3 linked regions of the Drosophila melanogaster genome follow. The protein of the gene in region 1 purifies or fractionates together with the protein of each later gene. This does not show direct contact. Each region holds a gene or a part of one and is shown in the gene's direction. Other genes may lie near its edges.

What was found.
Region 2: the proteins of Ilp2 (region 1) and conv purify together in Drosophila melanogaster (affinity purification with western blotting; one study listed by BioGRID). This does not show direct contact.
Region 3: the proteins of Ilp2 (region 1) and Sdr purify together in Drosophila melanogaster (affinity purification with western blotting, with the first as the bait; one study listed by BioGRID). This does not show direct contact.

The regions. Positions count from the first base shown.
Region 1 is NT_037436.4:9,797,920-9,800,999, forward strand, and holds Ilp2 (Insulin-like peptide 2), read left to right. Parts: upstream 1-1,778; 5' UTR 1,779-1,844; coding exon 1,845-2,007; intron 2,008-2,080; coding exon 2,081-2,331; 3' UTR 2,332-2,521; downstream 2,522-3,080. Other genes in the region: Ilp1 (Insulin-like peptide 1), read left to right, coding at 515-979; CG32052 (uncharacterized protein), read left to right, coding at 1,252-1,327. UniProt on the Drosophila melanogaster protein: Possible ligand of InR/insulin-like receptor. Plays a role in regulating body size by increasing cell size and cell number of individual organs.
Region 2 is NT_033778.4:14,268,744-14,276,072, forward strand, and holds conv (convoluted), read left to right. Parts: upstream 1-1,985; 5' UTR 1,986-2,426; coding exon 2,427-2,527; intron 2,528-2,594; coding exon 2,595-2,755; intron 2,756-2,815; coding exon 2,816-2,985; intron 2,986-3,044; coding exon 3,045-3,647; intron 3,648-3,699; coding exon 3,700-4,566; intron 4,567-4,621; coding exon 4,622-4,716; intron 4,717-4,785; coding exon 4,786-5,673; intron 5,674-5,735; coding exon 5,736-6,129; 3' UTR 6,130-6,752; downstream 6,753-7,329. Other genes in the region: Sps1 (selenophosphate synthetase 1), read right to left, coding at 223-1,419.
Region 3 is NT_033777.3:14,916,710-14,923,672, forward strand, and holds Sdr (secreted decoy of InR), read left to right. Parts: upstream 1-1,918; 5' UTR 1,919-2,168; coding exon 2,169-2,720; intron 2,721-2,798; coding exon 2,799-3,336; intron 3,337-3,394; coding exon 3,395-3,542; intron 3,543-3,603; coding exon 3,604-3,999; intron 4,000-4,062; coding exon 4,063-4,279; intron 4,280-4,331; coding exon 4,332-4,588; intron 4,589-4,658; coding exon 4,659-5,157; 3' UTR 5,158-6,374; downstream 6,375-6,963.

The DNA.
Region 1 (3,080 bases):
AGAGCCTCTTAGCGGCAATGTAACAGGTTGGGCGAACGGGTTATGCTTTGAAGTGGGCGGATTTTTTGGCGGTGATTACACTGAAAACTATGCTCGATAAAGCTGTGTGCATCAATTCACACTTTAGAGCAAGTCCCATAAGGCTAACTCTTCTGAATATCTTAAAAATGTCTTACAAATACATTCCAAACTATTGGTATAGATAGATATAGGTAATGATACAACTGATATTTGCTAAGAAATACAATACAATACCCCAACTACCAAAACAACAGTGCATCGCTTTTCCATCCAAATTGGGGAGTAGAGCTAGAAATAGAGTTTGCATTTTTAGGGGAAAAACGGTACCTGAAACATGGGTGATCAAAGGATTTGCAGTTTGTACGCCCGTGGGGCTTGCTATGCCACTGCAATGCTAGACTGCAGAAGAGGCCATTGAACTGCATTAGCTAGCGCTTCCGATTTAGTGGTATAAATACCAGTTGCAGCCCAGAGCATTCACTGCATATCCAAGATGTTTAGCCAGCACAACGGTGCAGCAGTACATGGCCTTCGGCTCCAGTCGCTGCTCATCGCAGCCATGCTCACCGCTGCAATGGCAATGGTCACGCCGACTGGCAGTGGTCACCAGTTGCTGCCCCCCGGAAACCACAAACTCTGCGGCCCCGCACTGTCCGATGCCATGGATGTGGTGTGTCCCCATGGCTTTAATACGCTGCCAAGGAAACGTGAAAGCTTGCTGGGCAACAGCGACGACGACGAGGACACGGAGCAGGAGGTGCAGGATGATAGCAGCATGTGGCAGACACTGGACGGGGCAGGATACTCTTTTAGTCCACTGCTAACCAATCTGTACGGATCCGAGGTCCTGATCAAGATGCGTCGCCACAGGAGACACCTGACCGGTGGCGTCTACGACGAGTGCTGCGTCAAGACCTGCAGCTACTTGGAGTTAGCCATCTACTGTCTACCGAAATAGGACACTTGGCCAACACACACACATTCATTACCCAGCATGCATACACATACATACATACATACGAACACTTGAACATGGCATTCCCACATACATACTATATGTACACCCGTTCTCCTAACAGCATTCGTAATCCAATTCGTAATCACTTATTTATGCAGCACCAACTTTGACTAATGAATAAAAGTAGACAGTGCAAAAAGAAGAATTTGTGTGAGCGGCAAAGACAAGACAGTCAAAGGAAAAGTACCAAGGAGGCGTAATTCGTTGCCAGGATGCTGCTGGCTCCAATCAGCTGGCTCGGGTTCTTGTTGGCCTACTCCGGCCTGCCGGGCGCCCAGGCGCGGATTGGTAAGTATAGGGTAGAAATGGTAGAGGCAAACGGGCTGTAAAGGCGAGGTAACTTTAAGACCAAGGACTTATTTGGTATTCATAAATGCAGGGCTTAGTACGGCCTGGCTGTTTATACATAAATTGTTTAATTGGCTGACAGCAAAACGCCCACAAAGCCCTTCTTCTCCCAAACACAGCCACCCAAAAACCACCCACAATTTTCCAATAGCCATTTGCATAAGTCAGCTTTGACATTGAATGAGTTTAGCCAGGCGTTAGAGAGAAGAGCCAACTCCGGAATGCACTCATCGCATCCTAACACAATTTGACAACCTGACTTTTGAGGATAACATGTGTGTGGATCCAGACCCCGACCCCGAGAGACCGACCCCGACCCAGACCCAGTTTAAGTTTCTTACGAGGCAGTATATAAGCCAGTTACTTTGGGCCAAACATCATCAGTTAGCTTTCGACCCGGCTCGACCCAACTTAATCCATTTGATCGTAAAGCAACCTAAGCAGTAAACCCATAACCATGAGCAAGCCTTTGTCCTTCATCTCGATGGTGGCCGTGATTTTGCTGGCCAGCTCCACAGTGAAGTTGGCCCAAGGAACGCTCTGCAGTGAAAAGCTCAACGAGGTGCTGAGTATGGTGTGCGAGGAGTATAATCCCGTGATTCCACACAAGCGCGCCATGCGTAAGTTCTTACAAGGATGCAGATCCTCAAGCTGGCTTTGCTAGATCTACATTGTATCCACGATTTTTATTAGCCGGTGCCGACAGCGATCTGGACGCCCTCAATCCCCTGCAGTTTGTCCAGGAGTTCGAGGAGGAGGATAACTCGATATCGGAACCGCTGCGAAGTGCCCTCTTTCCTGGGAGCTATCTTGGGGGTGTACTCAATTCCCTGGCTGAAGTCCGGAGGCGAACTCGCCAACGGCAAGGAATCGTGGAGAGGTGCTGCAAAAAGTCCTGTGATATGAAGGCTCTGCGGGAGTACTGCTCCGTGGTCAGAAATTAGGCCTCCTAATGCGAAAATCATTGACCCCAACTGACCTGGTCGACGCGATTATCTCTGGATCTGGTTCCAAACCAACCATGTGCATATATACTACAATCGATGTTTTTTACAGCTTGTTGCATGTTACTCTTTACGAATGATCGAAATGGATTAAATATATATTCTGCTTTAAGCTTTGGCAAACAATCGCAAATGCTACTTTATATTATTATTAATTTGGGACGTTACATTTATTATTATCATTATATGATATATATGTTGATTATTACACTTGAATAAAAAGCGATATAACACAAGTATTCAGAAATCTAAAATGAATATATCTTTTTTTCTATTAAAACTAAATTTATTGAAAACAAAAAAAATCTTAAAAAAACTTGAAACAATTTAAACCATTCATTCATTTCCAAAACTTGTTTCTGTCTTAATACAGTAGGCAATCCAATTGCAATTCAAAAGTTAGTCGCATGTGGGAAATTTCCAAATTTTAGTTCATAGCTTTTTTCGTACTTCGTTTATCGATGATTATATCATCCGTAAAGAAGTAATTGATCAAATCTTATAATCAAAACATTGACTTACTTTTATGTTGACCTTAAAAGTCGAGTATTTCTAGTCGCGGTTGGCCGATTTTATAGCAATACTCATAATTTAATCGTTCTGTGTAGTTGTAAATTAGAAGATTATTACATTTTGAAAGCTAAAATAAACGGAATCAACTAAATTCATGCAGACCTTAAATAACAATC
Region 2 (7,329 bases), on another chromosome or scaffold:
GCATTCCAATTACTCGATACAAAAGATTCAAGTGTTTTCATTTTATTCACTCGTATTGCAGTAGAGACGTCCAAGATTATAATGATCAGTGAATCTGTAGTTGATAAGCTTTTTTATAAAAAACAAAGACCGATCATGCCGGTTACAACTGAATGTAGCAGCCGTTACGTTAATATTAAGATACTTAAGGTAGACAATAGCAGATGGTCAGGCAATGGAGACCTAGTCCTTGGCGGGCACCTCAATGACGCGGGGCTTGTCGATGATGCGTGCGGTCTTATTGCCCTTCTCAACGATGCCGATGATCCAGGCCTGGTAGCCCTCCTGCTTCTCGATGTCCTTGCAATAAGCAGCGGCCTGCTCTCGCGGCAGGCAGATCAGTAATCCTCCCGAGGTCTCCGCCGAGTGGCCCTGCAGCAGCTGGAACATGTTGCCGCAGGCTTTGGCCACTGCAGCCATCTTGGCGATCACCGGCAGATTGTGGATAACAAAGGAGACATCCTTTTTCTGATGTGCAGCCAGGGTTTGAGCGTGGCCTAGTAGTCCGAATCCAGTAATATCGGTGGCTCCGTGGGCATTGTACTTGTGCATGAGGCGAGCGGCTACGCGGTTGAGGCGAGCCATAGAGTTCATCGCCCGGTGGTAGGCCTTGCGTACATCTTCTTCGGACACCACCAGCTTAATGCGGTTCCAGCGCTCCGGCTGGTCAATCCACTGGTGGGCATTCACGGCCACTTGGGTGCCCAGTGGCTTGGTTAGCACCAGTACATCCCCTACCACGGCATTATCTGGCACAATATACTCATTTGGCTGGCAAATGGTCGAGGCAACCCCACCAATGGTGCACCACGGATTGACCACGCTCTGGCCTCCAGTCACAGTGGTGCCTGCCTCCAAAGCGGAGTCCTTAAAGCCTCGCATTATCAGCGGAATGACCACGTCACGCTCCTTCTCTGTCATCTTGGTACTGACCGCCAACAGCATCAGCATGTTATCGCAATCTGTGACTCCCATGGCATACAAATCGCTGAGCACATTGGCGCACGCAATTTTGCCCATCATGTAGGGATCATCGACAATGGGGTAAAAGAAATCGGTGGTCTGCACCAGGCAGAGTCCGCCGTGTCGCAGCGGAATGACGGAGCAGTCCAGGCCAATACCGATGCGGGGAATGGCCACGTTGAGAAACTGCGGTTCCTGGTCCTGGGCAGAGTAGTCCTGCTGCAGGGCGGACACCAGCTTGGAGAGCACATCCTGCGGCACTTTGCAGCCGCGCCCCTTTAGATCTGCGAAGCGTGTAAGGCGGAAGGATGCATCCAAATCATGGGCCGTGGGATCGAATGGACGACGCAACTCGGCGTCGCCACCACCATGGAGCTCCAAATGGGCCGAGTTCAGCACATCAGCGGCGTAGCTCATCTTGCTTTATAGCTGTGGATGGGGGAGATGCAAAGAACAGAATGTAAGTAGCGGCTTTAACCGATTAACGCACTTTTGCCGCGCAATAAACACATAGTGGGCTACTCTATGCAGCGAGTAACTCGCGTTCTCCCCGGCCACCAATACCACAGCGCTCAGACGTGTATGTACACGGATTTTCTGCCGCGTGTGTGTAGCGCGGCCCGTGATTGGCTGCAGTCGCGATGGCGGCTAAAACGGGCGAAGTCAGTATTTCTCCCTGTCGACGAGGCGAGCAACGTGAACAATGCCCACTCATTTCAATTGCAAAATGCCAAAAAGTGCGCGCTTTGAATTGGCCATTTGGTTCGTTGCGTTCGTTTGTCTTTTGGTACTTACGTTTGCTTGTGCGATTGTACAAAGATAATTGTAGAGTAACGTTAGCAAATTATATTTATTTTGCGCCTGGTTTTTGCTTTTCCAACGAGCGAGATGTCACAACAGGGTTGTATTAGCGTGTGCGGCTGATTCGATATTTGGGATGCCGATTGTCTGAAGCGATGGTTCAACGGGGCTGCCAACTCGCCCGAAATCTATCGATTGTATTGTGCGCCAAGGGTAAAATAAATAAAAATATGTTAAAACCGCGGAATAAATGGGGGAACCGAAGTGGAAACTGTGGTTCACAGTGCTCTGACTTTCGGGAGCAGTTAATATAGTTGGCATTAATTCAATTAGAGCTCCAAAGTGCTGGTCACAAAGAGCGCACAAGAGCGGCCCATGAAAACCTGTTGCGCCAGCAGAGCGAAAAGTAAAAGTAGAAGAAACCATTTACCTTTGTTCGTTGATAAGACAAGTTAACTTTACTCCACATCCCAAAAAAAAACCCACCTCATTCAAGCGGAACATCGTTAAACAAAGAACTATAAGTTTCAGGAAATCGAAGCCCACACAAAAGACTTGAGCAGCGAACTTGGTTTTGGGCCATGGGATAAACTAAATTAAAACGGTGACGAAATCATTAAAACATGATTCAGCTACGCCTGCGCACTCTCGTTTTGCTGCACTTCATTGCCCTAGCCAGTTCGGAATATGTGTATGGCGAACCCGAATTCAAGTGTCCAAAAAAGTGAGTTATTCCAAATATTGTATATTACATATTTCTTCACTTATATGGTGTTTTTTTTTCAAATCAGATCAAAGGCCTTGTACCCCTGCGAATGTGTGAAGGGCAGCGATAATGGCCTCTACATTCGGTGCGAAAATACAAACTTGGCTACCTTATCCGTAGCCCTTCAGAATTTGGCCTCTTTTGGTATGCCCATCGAGGAGTTGACCATCTACAGAGGACATTTCGGTGTGTACTTCTACACGTCCTTTTAGTCTGTTAAGCTGAAGAATCAAATTCTCTTTCTAGTTCGTCTATATGGGCCACTATTTGCTCATATCAAAGCACGAATGCTGATCATAGAAGAAACACCATTGGCCACCATTGAGGATTATGTTTTCTATGGAGTAAATAATACTTTGGAGCAACTGCATTTACTTCGCACAAATCTAAGCCACGTTGGTTTACTAGGATTCGGCGTAAGAATTAAACAATATACCGATACCATCGTTATCTAAACGGGAAATTCTTTTTTCAGATTCTAGGAAAAGCTAAGGAACTCGTAATCGATGGCCATGCGTTCCAACAGCTACCCAAGGATCTATTTGCTGGCCAAGAGATCGCCAATAGTCTGGGAATCATACGTGTGACCAATGGTAACCTAAGTGATCTGCCTATTGAGACTTTCCAGCCATTGCGGAAACTAAAAACGCTCGACTTGCATGGAAATCAATTGGAGAATCTGAAACGAAACCAATTTAAGAATCTAAGAGAGTTGGAGGTCTTGGATATAAGTCACAACCAGATCAAAAAGCTGGAGGCACAGCACATAGCTGATCTGACAAAGCTGGGATGGTGCAACGTTTCTCATAATGCCCTAAGCGAACTTAGTCGCGGAACTTTTGCCAGAAACTCTGTGTTGAAGGTGCTCCATTTGTCCCACAACCAGATTGCACGCCTAGATGCGAATAGTTTTAGGGGTATGCGTTTCCTCCGTCGTCTTTTCCTCAGCGATAATGTGCTCACGGATATTGGTCGTGGTACTTTCGGCTCAATTGCCCGCATTGGAACTATTGATCTTGCACGCAACCGTCTTAAGAAGATCGAGTTCCAGATGTTTACCCAGATGAACTATGTGGAGGTACAATTGCTAATATAAAATTTGAAAAATTTAACTAATTGCTGCTTTTCAGTTGCTCGATTTGGCGGAGAACAACATAACCAAGATTGAAAAGAACTCTTTCAAGGATATTTACCAGGCTATCATAAACGTATCGCATAACGCTTTGGAACTCATTGAAACAGCTGCATTTGAAAATTGTGTAAACATCACGGTTCTTGACTTGTCTCACAATCGGTTGGCCAACTTTTCGCGTCGCAGCTTCGATGAGACCACTTTCGCGACCTATTTTCAGCTGAGCTACAACAATCTTACCAATTTGGCACAGATTCCCATTCAAAATATGACTGGCTTGAAAGTCTTGAATGCCTCGTACAATAGCATTACCGAAATACCCAAAAATTGTTTTCCAAAGCTCTATGAACTGCACACCATCGATGTCTCGCACAATAACATCTCCAGTATATTTAATGGAGTTTTTCAAACCCTATTCTCGCTACGCTCAATTGATCTTAGCCATAATAGCATGAGGGAAATCAAGTCGTCGACATTTGGCACTTTGCCAACCCTCTTGGAAATGGATCTGAGTCATAACGAACTGGTATCCGTAGTGCGAGGATCGCTGGCCAAGTTGACCAGTTTGCGACAGCTGTATTTAAATAATAATCAATTGGAAAAACTTTTCCAGTTGCCTATTTCCCTAAATGAGCTGTACTTCAGCCATAACAGGCTGACTAATATACCATCGGGCACCTGGCCAGTGATGAACTCACTGATCTACTTGGACCTAAGCCATAATCAGCTGGGAGACACTCTAAACGGGGAGAGTTTTACAGGTCTGTTGGTGGTGCAACGACTGAAGCTGCAAAACAATGGCATCAGTCAGCCACCAAAGGATGCGGTGGCTGTCATGTCAACACTGCAGTACTTACATTTGGAGGTGAGCAAATGCTATGAGAATTCTAACCTCCAAACTCATCCAACTTTTTATTTAGAACAACAATATTACGACCTTAGAACGAAGTGCCTTTGGTAAGCTGCCCGTCTTGTTTGAGTTAAATCTGTATGGTAACCAAGTTAAGGATATAAGGTAAGATTTATCTAAAATCTGTACATTTTTTATTTATAATATGACTAATAACCCATTTATAACTTGTAGCAAGCGAGCTTTTGAGGGACTGCTGCAGCTGCTCACTTTAAATTTGTCATCGAACGGAATCCAGACTCTGCAAAATGACATCTTTGTTGGTCTACCATCTCTGCGAAACCTTGATCTGTCCTTCAATTCTCTCACCAAGTTGGACAACAAAACCAATGGTGTTCTGGATGATTTACTCAGTTTGGAAACCTTAGATTTGAGTCACAATCGTATAAGTTTTGTTACCAAGAAAACCTTTCCCTCTCATCAGTACATTCCGTACAACCTAAGAAACCTGAACCTAAGCTACAATTTGATGCCAATACTGACCTATGATATTACATTCGGCACCAAAAAGCTGGTTCGGTTGGATGTATCTCACAATCAGATCAACGATCTAAGGAGAGGAGTTATCTCTAATTTTACTTCACTTCAAAGTTTGGATATGTCTTATAATGAACTATCTAATCTGAAGTCTGAAGAGCACATCTTTGACCTGCCTCAAAACCTGAGCTGGTTGGACCTTTCCCACAACAAAATCTACCACTTGCCGTTCGCCAATCTGGTGAAAGTGAAATCCCTGAAATATGTTGATCTTACCAACAATAGTCTGGAGGATGTGCCCGCTTCGATAGTGGGCAGCATGCGTAATGGTAGCCAAGTACTTCTGGCCGGAAATCCTCTGCACTGCGGATGCAATGCACGACCGTTGAAATACTTTATGCTGCAGCAAACGATAGCTGGAGAGGATTTGAAGAGTATTTACTGCGGAACGCCGGCTTTGATCAAGGACAAGCAGCTTATATCTTTGGACGATGAGTATCTGCACTGCGCCGAGGATGAGCAGGAGATGTATAAGGGCATTGACTATGAACAGCTTACAGATGTCCGATTCCGAGAAGTGAAAACGTATGCATATTTTGCAGTTTGAACTTAAAGTAACTTATAATCCTTGTACATTTTTCAAATAGCAACAAAGCGGGCATGTTGACCCTATGCTGGTATGTCTCCGGCTTTTCAGACGTCTCAGACTTCCACGTTTATATCCGAAGCAGTAGCAACGATGTGCTTCACCAGTCGGACTATGCCTATAACAATCGTACTGCCCAAATCCCGGTGGAAGAGCTATCGACGCTGGGAGAAGAGAAACTTCGAGGCGCTGAGATATGTATAGTATCCCGGGATAGCGATGGAAATACGCGCAAGTGGTTCTCCGGGCAGTGCCAGCAGCTACCTTCGCTGAAGCGGCCCCGGACTTTCTTCTTCGGAAACTTTCAGGTCCGCGGTGGCGTTTCCCGGACCTCCAGCAGCCTACCTCGTTGCCTTTTGTATATAATACTCGTTTTGTTTGTTGCCAGATTGTAGTTAGCATGGGAAAACTGTGCACCAAGATTATTTTCTTAATAAGTAGATAACTATACTCGAAAATGATTGTAATACTGATTGTCTTCAAGTTACAAATTGTGCACTTTATGTATGTAAAAATCGTTTTAAGTTCGTATCGATGTGATAAAATGAATCTTGAAAAGAGATCAGATTGTCCTTGATCTTTGATCCCATTGTTGGCCGTTTGCTAGTGTGTGTCGCTGTGGCCATGGCTCACTGTAAGGACACGCTGTGCTCTGACCTTACAGCTGAACATGTGCGCGACGCCCTATTATCACAGCCGTGCGCACATGTATTTGTTTACTTGGACGCCGCCTCGCGTGGGCAGCGCAATTCAGAAAGCGTTGGAGCCCACAGCCAACCCAACGGGCCAGCTGATGGCTGATGGCCCAGGCTGGCTGACTTTCATTCAGGGCGAAAACACAAAGGCTGTAATCCGAAGTGCTCTTCGGCGCGGCGATTCATTCTCAACTCGGACTCGGCTCCTGTTTGTGCAGCGGGAGCGGACAAAAGGACTGCGAGCGAGTGAAAGGACTCGCCTGAGAGCCTGGCAAATGCGCACTCGCGCTCTCAACCGAAAAGGCATGCGAGTAGCACACTGGCGGTCGAAATTGTTTGCACAGCTACAGTATCGGCATGCTCCTAGAATTATGCTATTGTTTTTGTTATTTGGCTCTACAGTTTCCTGTTCTGAATATATTTAATTTATTACCAGGGGGGAAATATACATACGTTAGCAATGTTTTTAAAGCTTTATTATTTCTTAAATATATACAACACAAATTTAATGTAAAGGTACAGCAATTAAGATTGTTTTTAATTTTTGGATTTTATTACTGAGGTAATTTCTGATCAATACATGTGTGTATTACACCCTACCTTATTCGATAGCTTCCAGGAGATATTGAAGGAGCATCCAAAGGACCTATCAATTCGACCGAACCTCCACTGTGCCGCAGGACACGAGACACTAAGGACATGTGCACTTTCACTGCCGCGCGCCACCCACATGCTCTCGGTTTCACTTTGGCCGCAGAAGAATGTGCTTTTGTGCCGTTCGCCTTTGCCATCCTGGTCCTCCTGCCCCCGCCGCCTCCTCCTTAGGATTTTGGCAGGCGACTTTGCCTGTCCTTATCGATTTTCAGCGAATCTCGCGGGCTCGGCTCGGCCGTTTCTGCT
Region 3 (6,963 bases), on another chromosome or scaffold:
TAAATTCCGCGCGTTTCACATCAGCGCAGGCTCTGCAAATTACTGCGAAAATTGATTCACAGGCGGGTGGCGGGAAAACGGAGAAAAAGAGCACATCAGCTAACGAAAAAATCATTGATAGTTATGCCTGTGTGGTTTTTTCACACGTTTACTGCGATTTTTTATGTGGGTGCAGCTGGTGATTTTGCGTGAATTTGTGCATTTTGCACTCGTTAAAAAAAGATACAGTTTATGGCAGTTTTGTTTTTAGAAATAGAAGTTGGCTTTAAGCATATTTAAAGCTAAAAATAACGTTTTATGATAAATAATAATAATAAATTACTGCCTATATTGACCATTGATGATGGTTTTATCAATTATTAACTAATTTTGAATGGATTATCGCGACGGTAACATAAATTATTATGTTTAAAATAATTTTTGGAATAGATATAATAACTAAATAATTATCCTGGGGTGAATTAGGCAGATTTTATCCGCTGTTACATATGTAATGATATATTCAAAGTACTACACTAAAGATATACCCTATAATAACAAAGTGAAAATTTGAAATTATTTCGTGCGTTTTTATGTGGTTTGCCCATTAAAATATCTAAAACAACGGGGCACAATTTTGCGCAAATTATTTATAGATTTCTATTGCTATTGTATTTAACACATAAATATATTATCTATTTTTTTGTTATTGAACAATCATTCAAGCTGCGTATTCAATTGGCATCTGACTAAATTTAGAAAATTCTTTTTCCGATTCCATTGAGCGTTACTTGCACCTTAATGAACTGCCAATTGCGCGTTGTTCAATGCTCACTACTCTACCAATTGGATTGGAGCTTTGGTTCACCCCCTCCCACCATTTTCGCTCTTATTTTCACTGTTTTTTTGCATTCACTCTAATTGAATTGTTCGCCGGTGCAATTTAATTTCTGCGCAAATGCAAAAACAAAAGGCAAAGACATGCACTCTGGGGAAAAAGGTAAAGAACGCCGGTAGGTGGCTAAGGGGAAGGTAGCTAAGGAGGAAGGGGGAAGAGGATCCAACCGGTTTGCAAATGGTTGCAAGGTCACATGGGGAGTGGGGGCGTGGCAAGGGGCTGTGGCGGTTGCAGAAGTAACAAGTGTTTTTCGGCTGACGGCAACAAGGAAACGACAATGAGAAAAACGTGAAAGGTAACAGATGCGTAAAATAATCGCTCCCCAACAAAATGAAACAGTGGCGTGCCAAGAATTTCAAAAAGGGTTTCCAGTTTTTGAATTTCATTTGTAGCTCCACAAATCGATCTATCAAAAACCGTAAAAGATCATACGAATTATCATGGTACTCTTAATCTTAATTTTAAGTTTCGTATATCACTTTTTTAATTGACTGCAAAAGGGCATTAGGGGGTTTAAATTTGATTGAGAAAACTAGAAACAAACAAATAGCAAGACCGGCAAGTATATTATTTTACGATATTGTTTTACGAAATGTTTACTTTCATTAACGTAAATATTACCAGACTGCTCCCCATCGAATCATCAGTCTTCTTCTCTCACAACAGCCACCACCTTTGATTTTCATTCTTGAGCAGTTTTTATACACCGAGTCGAAAAAATAGTTCTGGTTTTTGAAGATATTTAGATATTTATATTAGAATTGGCTCTATCAAACAATATGCTAAATATTTTATTATTGTAATAATTTTGGAAATCTGCTTAAAAGATATTTTGCTTAAGAAAAAGGTTACTAAATATGTTCGCTTTGCATACATTTTTAGGTTCTTATAAATGTCGACAAATTTGAATAGTTTTATGAACACTACACGATTTTCCGCTGGTGTAGCCGAAGGGTTTAGAGAACGAAGACGAGCGCATAAAAAAGAAATAACAGTGTGAAACAAAACCAAACAAAACAAAACAAAGTGAATGCCGAAAGAAGAGGCTAATTAAAGAGATCGAAAGCACAGAACGCTGTTCGAATCGAATGCCATCAGTCCAAATCGAATCGTTGCCGCGAACGCAGCTCTCTTCAAAAGCGGAAAAAATATTTAAAAAAATATATAGTTCAACCGATCGATCGTGCGAGAAAAACGACATTGACATTCAAGCGGGCGCGCTAATTGATCCATTGGAAGCCCCCTTAACGCCCGGGTCAAGTGCTCTCAATTGGAAGTGTCAGGTGGCAGCATGGGGCATCTGCACCCCGTTCCCAACCCCCTTCCGATCCCCATCTCGATCGCAGTTCCGTTGATACTGCTGTTTTTGGGCGCCTCATCGCCGGTTTTGGCCAGTTCCGATGATCAAACCGCCTGCGGATCGTTGGAGATAAATAAGATTGCGGACCTGCGGAAACTGCAGAACTGTACTCATGTGGTGGGTCACGTTCGACTGGCCTATGTGGATCTGACGGATGTATCCGGCAACTACAGCCTGGATTCGCTGGCCAGCAATGTGACCGAGATCAGTGACTACCTAATGGTGTATCGCTGCACGGGTCTGATCAGCCTGCAGTCGATATTCCCACGGCTGCGTATCATTCGTGGGCAGGAGCTCCTCTTTGATCAGTACTCCCTGGTGGTCTACGAGAATCGCAATCTCAGGGAGCTCGGCCTGGTGGAGTTATTGCGCATCCAGAGCGGATTCATTCGCGTCGAATCGAATCCCTTGCTGTGCTTCGTGGAAACCGTCGATTGGATATATCTAATGGGCAATGCCACTCGGCAGCACTTTTCCCTTAAAGTGAGTGAAGATATACTTGGGCATATGTTCCTTGATATTAAGCAAATATTGGATAAATAACTTTTTTATTAACCATAGCACAACAGACCGCAAAGTCAGTGCCCTTTGTGTGGTAGCCTGTCAGCGGACTTCGAGTTCATCCGGAACTCCTCGGAGCGCTGCTGGAACGTGAATACGACACAACTTCGCCCCCAACCGCCCAGACTTAAGGACTGCCCCATTGCATGTGGCCTAAACGGATGTGATAGTGCGGGCAAATGTTGTGATCACAACTGTGTAACTGGTTGCTATTCCCAAAACTGCTCCCTTTGTGCAAACTACCAGGGAAGAATGGGATGTGTCAATCAGTGTGTCGCCAGCTATGAATTAAACAAGAGGAGGTGCATCGGTCACAGGGAGTGCCGGGAATTGGGAAGGATTCCCCTGATACGCGGCTATCAGTGTGTGAAAAAGTGTCCGGGAAACCAGAAAGAGATTTTGGTCGCCAAGGGCATCATCCACTGCCAGGTGGAGTGCAACGGCGATTTTCACGTGAAGAGTGCTGCCGACCTGGAAGTTTTACAAGACTGTGTGACGATCAATGGTTCACTTACCATCGAACTCACCAATATTAAAGGTGTGTTTCATATCATATATGATATCTGTATAATTTACTTACATAATACATTTTCCAGAAAAAATTGTAGATGCCTTGGAAAATGCGTTGGCCAGTGTTAAAGAGATCACTGGGTATCTGAAGGTCATACACTCTGCACAGCTGATGTCGCTCACATTTCTTCAGAATTTGGATGCCATAAGAGGGGATAAGCTGGTGGAAAACAAGTTAGTTTGAGAGGCAAGGATTGTATTGAAATTCTAATAATATTATTTATCTCATTTTCAGATACGCCCTGTATGTAGTGAATAACTACCATTTGGAGCACATTTGGCCACCCAATCACCTGGTGATCATTCAGCGCGGTACACTATTCTTTCACCTGAATCCCCGCCTGTGCTACGAGAAAATCCATCAGCTACAGGGCTCCCTGAAAAGCGGAGAGAATATATCCGTGGCAGATGTATCCCCCAATTCGAACGGCGAACGCGTGATTTGTGGCGACGCGGTGCGCTCCCTCAATCCCAAAGTGGAGGACCTAAATTCCACTGCGGTACGCATCATCCTGGACTACATGGACTGGGAGGGTATGGAAACGCTAATAGGATATTCGTATCACTACAAGGAAGCCCCGGTGCAAAACGTGACTATGTACGATGGTCGGCATGGTTGCGGTCATGACAAGTGGGTGTGGACTCCTCGCCCTCACCAAGTTTACCTACAGTGATTCTGTTTATAATTTTCCAGCTGGCTGATGGACGTTGTGCCCAACCAGAGTCGACGTCATGTGATAAGCGGTCTGAAGCCCTACACACAGTATGCGTATTTCGTGAAGACCCTCACCAGAACCGAATATCATATTCAGATAGATGCCTACTCAAAAATCGGCTACTTCCAGACGCTACCGGATAGGCCAAGTCCTGTGCTCCGAATATATGGCAGTTCGGAAATCAGTTCCCAGATTGTAAGTACTTTTCAAAATATATCTCTCAGCTTAAAAACTTGTTCATTTCCAGCTTCTTCACTGGTGGCCACCGAGGCGTCCAAATGGAGTCATTAAAAATTATTTTGTGACCGCCGAAAAGTACAATGCTACCAAGGAAGCAAAGGACAAAAATTATGTGAATGTTGAGTTGGAAAATGCTAAAGACATCGATTGTGAGTGCGCTGGTGTACTGCCCTACTATTCAGGTCCTCAGCCAGATGACGAGGATTACTACAACAAAGAGCAAATCACCTACGAGGATGCGTTGCCCAATCTCATTTATGTTTCGTAAGACAAGAAAATATGGTTTTCTTTGAAGTTTCAATTGAAATAATATACAATATTATACCATCTATAGGCGCAATCACGACTATCGCAGAAAGGAGTTCGAAAAAGTGATTAACTATGAGCACCTGTTGTCCATAAAGAAGGATGAAGAGCCCACCAGACCGCCCACAACCACTCCTGCTCCTACAAATGCAACATTGGCTAAGGAGAGATTGGCCGCAATTAACTATGAGAATTATCGCCTGAATAGCGAGAAGAAGCAGCGGGATCTTCAGGACTTGGACCAGCACAAGTATACCATCCGACATGCCTTGCCCAAGTGCCAAAACTCCCACGCATCCGTGGTCCAGCAAGTGGAGGAAAAATGCGTGGCTGAGGAGCCCTTGAGTGGCTACGAACTTCCGGGCACCCAGCACTTTTACTGCCTCTCCCAGTTGGAGCCGGAAACCCATTACCGGATCACCATACGGGCTTGCGTCGAGGGCGTGGTCAACGGATGCTCAACTCCGGCGGAAGCTGTAATCAAGACTGCAAGCATCCAACTGGAGCGATTCATCAAGGGTGTTTAGCAGAGAATCCTCGATCGCAGACTTTCTGTATCCGCTGACAAGTGATAAATGCTAGACCCATATGACGATAGGCATGTTGAAAACTTGATGCAATATCAACCTAAATCAACGTGTTTAACATTTACTATATCTGTATTTATTGTTCTAAAAAACTTGACATAGAAGGACCGCTGGACCTCTTATTTTTCCAGACTATATATGTCGTAGTTTTACTATTTGGAATTAATTTTTTTTTTTAATATTTTTCGGTTTTTAACTTTGATTATAATTAGACTGAACAGCTTTAATGCTTTTTACTTGAATCAATTGTTAAAATGTAATGTAATGTGTAAGCCGTGTCATATGGGCCCAACTAAGTATTGTAAGTCAAGTGACTGTAGTTCCTCCAAATGTATTGTAAATGTGTAAATGCCAAACAAATCCTCGACAAGCGAGCAAATGTTTTCATCAGTGCTAATTTGACTTATCAGCTTATCAGACTTAGCCGCACGTCCTTGCAATGTGTGCCAGAGCCAGAAACCGTTCAAAGGGAAAAACCCTCACTGACAGCAGTGATTCCTGAGATCCTCAACTTGGCCCGGAAAGCGGTTACCTTTCTCTCGAGATTGGCCATGGCATAAGCCTAGGCGAAACTAACAACAGCAGGCTGCCTGGAACTTCCAACGCATGCCACTTAATATGCAAATATGCCGCAAAAGAGCTTTAAACTTTAAAACACTGACAAAAACTAGAACTAATCCCCACCATCGAAAACTGGGCGGAAAGGGACTAGGTCGAGACGATGCTTTTGCTTTCGGTGTGGAGTGGAGTCAAGTCGAGTACGTGTCATGTGTCGCCTTGTTTGTGGCCAAGTTTTCGGCGCAGCTGGAAAAGTTCCATGAAAACGTGTCCCACTCAATGGGGAAAAGCGGTTCGTGATTGACGCAGGACTAAGTATGAGCGGCGAGGGGTGAGCGGGATGCGGGAAGCTAAGGACGCTCAGAGTGCCTGCAGAGGAAAAGGATTTCAATTCTGCCGCTGACACTGACGCGCAATTTAACTACCTTAGAGGTCGCGAGTGAAGTACTCCAAAGGGGGTAACTTGGCGACTATCCCTTCGCGTACTTTGGAAGCTTCACTGCAAGAAACTCACTAGCACAAATTTAGGTCATATATAATATACTGCAATTGAAAGCCAATCAATAAAAGGTATAACATTTCATTGTCTACAATAAAATTCCCTTTAAAAATACTCAAGTTTATCATATTTGTTAGTCTAAGCTAGAGTTTCTTTTTAGTGAGCTAATACCCGCTGGCAAACCTTATTCAACCTACTGAGTGTAACTAATCTCTTTTTCAATTTTTGATGTAGCCATTTAAATCAACTGGCTGGACTTAAAGCAAAATGCTGGGCAGCTGGAAACCACTTATGCCACATCCTTTGGCGCCGTCTTTAAGTGGAGGAAGGAAGAGATATGGGGCTGTGTGTGATCTTATCCTAAACCAATTGTATTTCAATATTTCACTGTCCCCTCCTCTTCGCCCTTTGCTGTTGCACCATTTTTCGCGTTATTTCCGTTGCCATAGACGCAGTTGTAGTAGCAGCTGTAGCTGTGGTTGCAAACGTAGTCCTTGCCGTGTAGCCTCGTTATCCTTGCACTCGTTTGTTATCTATGCACTTGCCGGGCCAAGCACTTTGGGTGCGGTTCGTCGATGTCAGTGCGTCAGTTTAGCAGTTCCTCCGTCCGCCCGTTGGTCCGCCCGTCCGTCCGTCAGTCAGGCAGGCAGGCGGACAATAAAACTGAGTGCACCGCAACTCGGACTAGT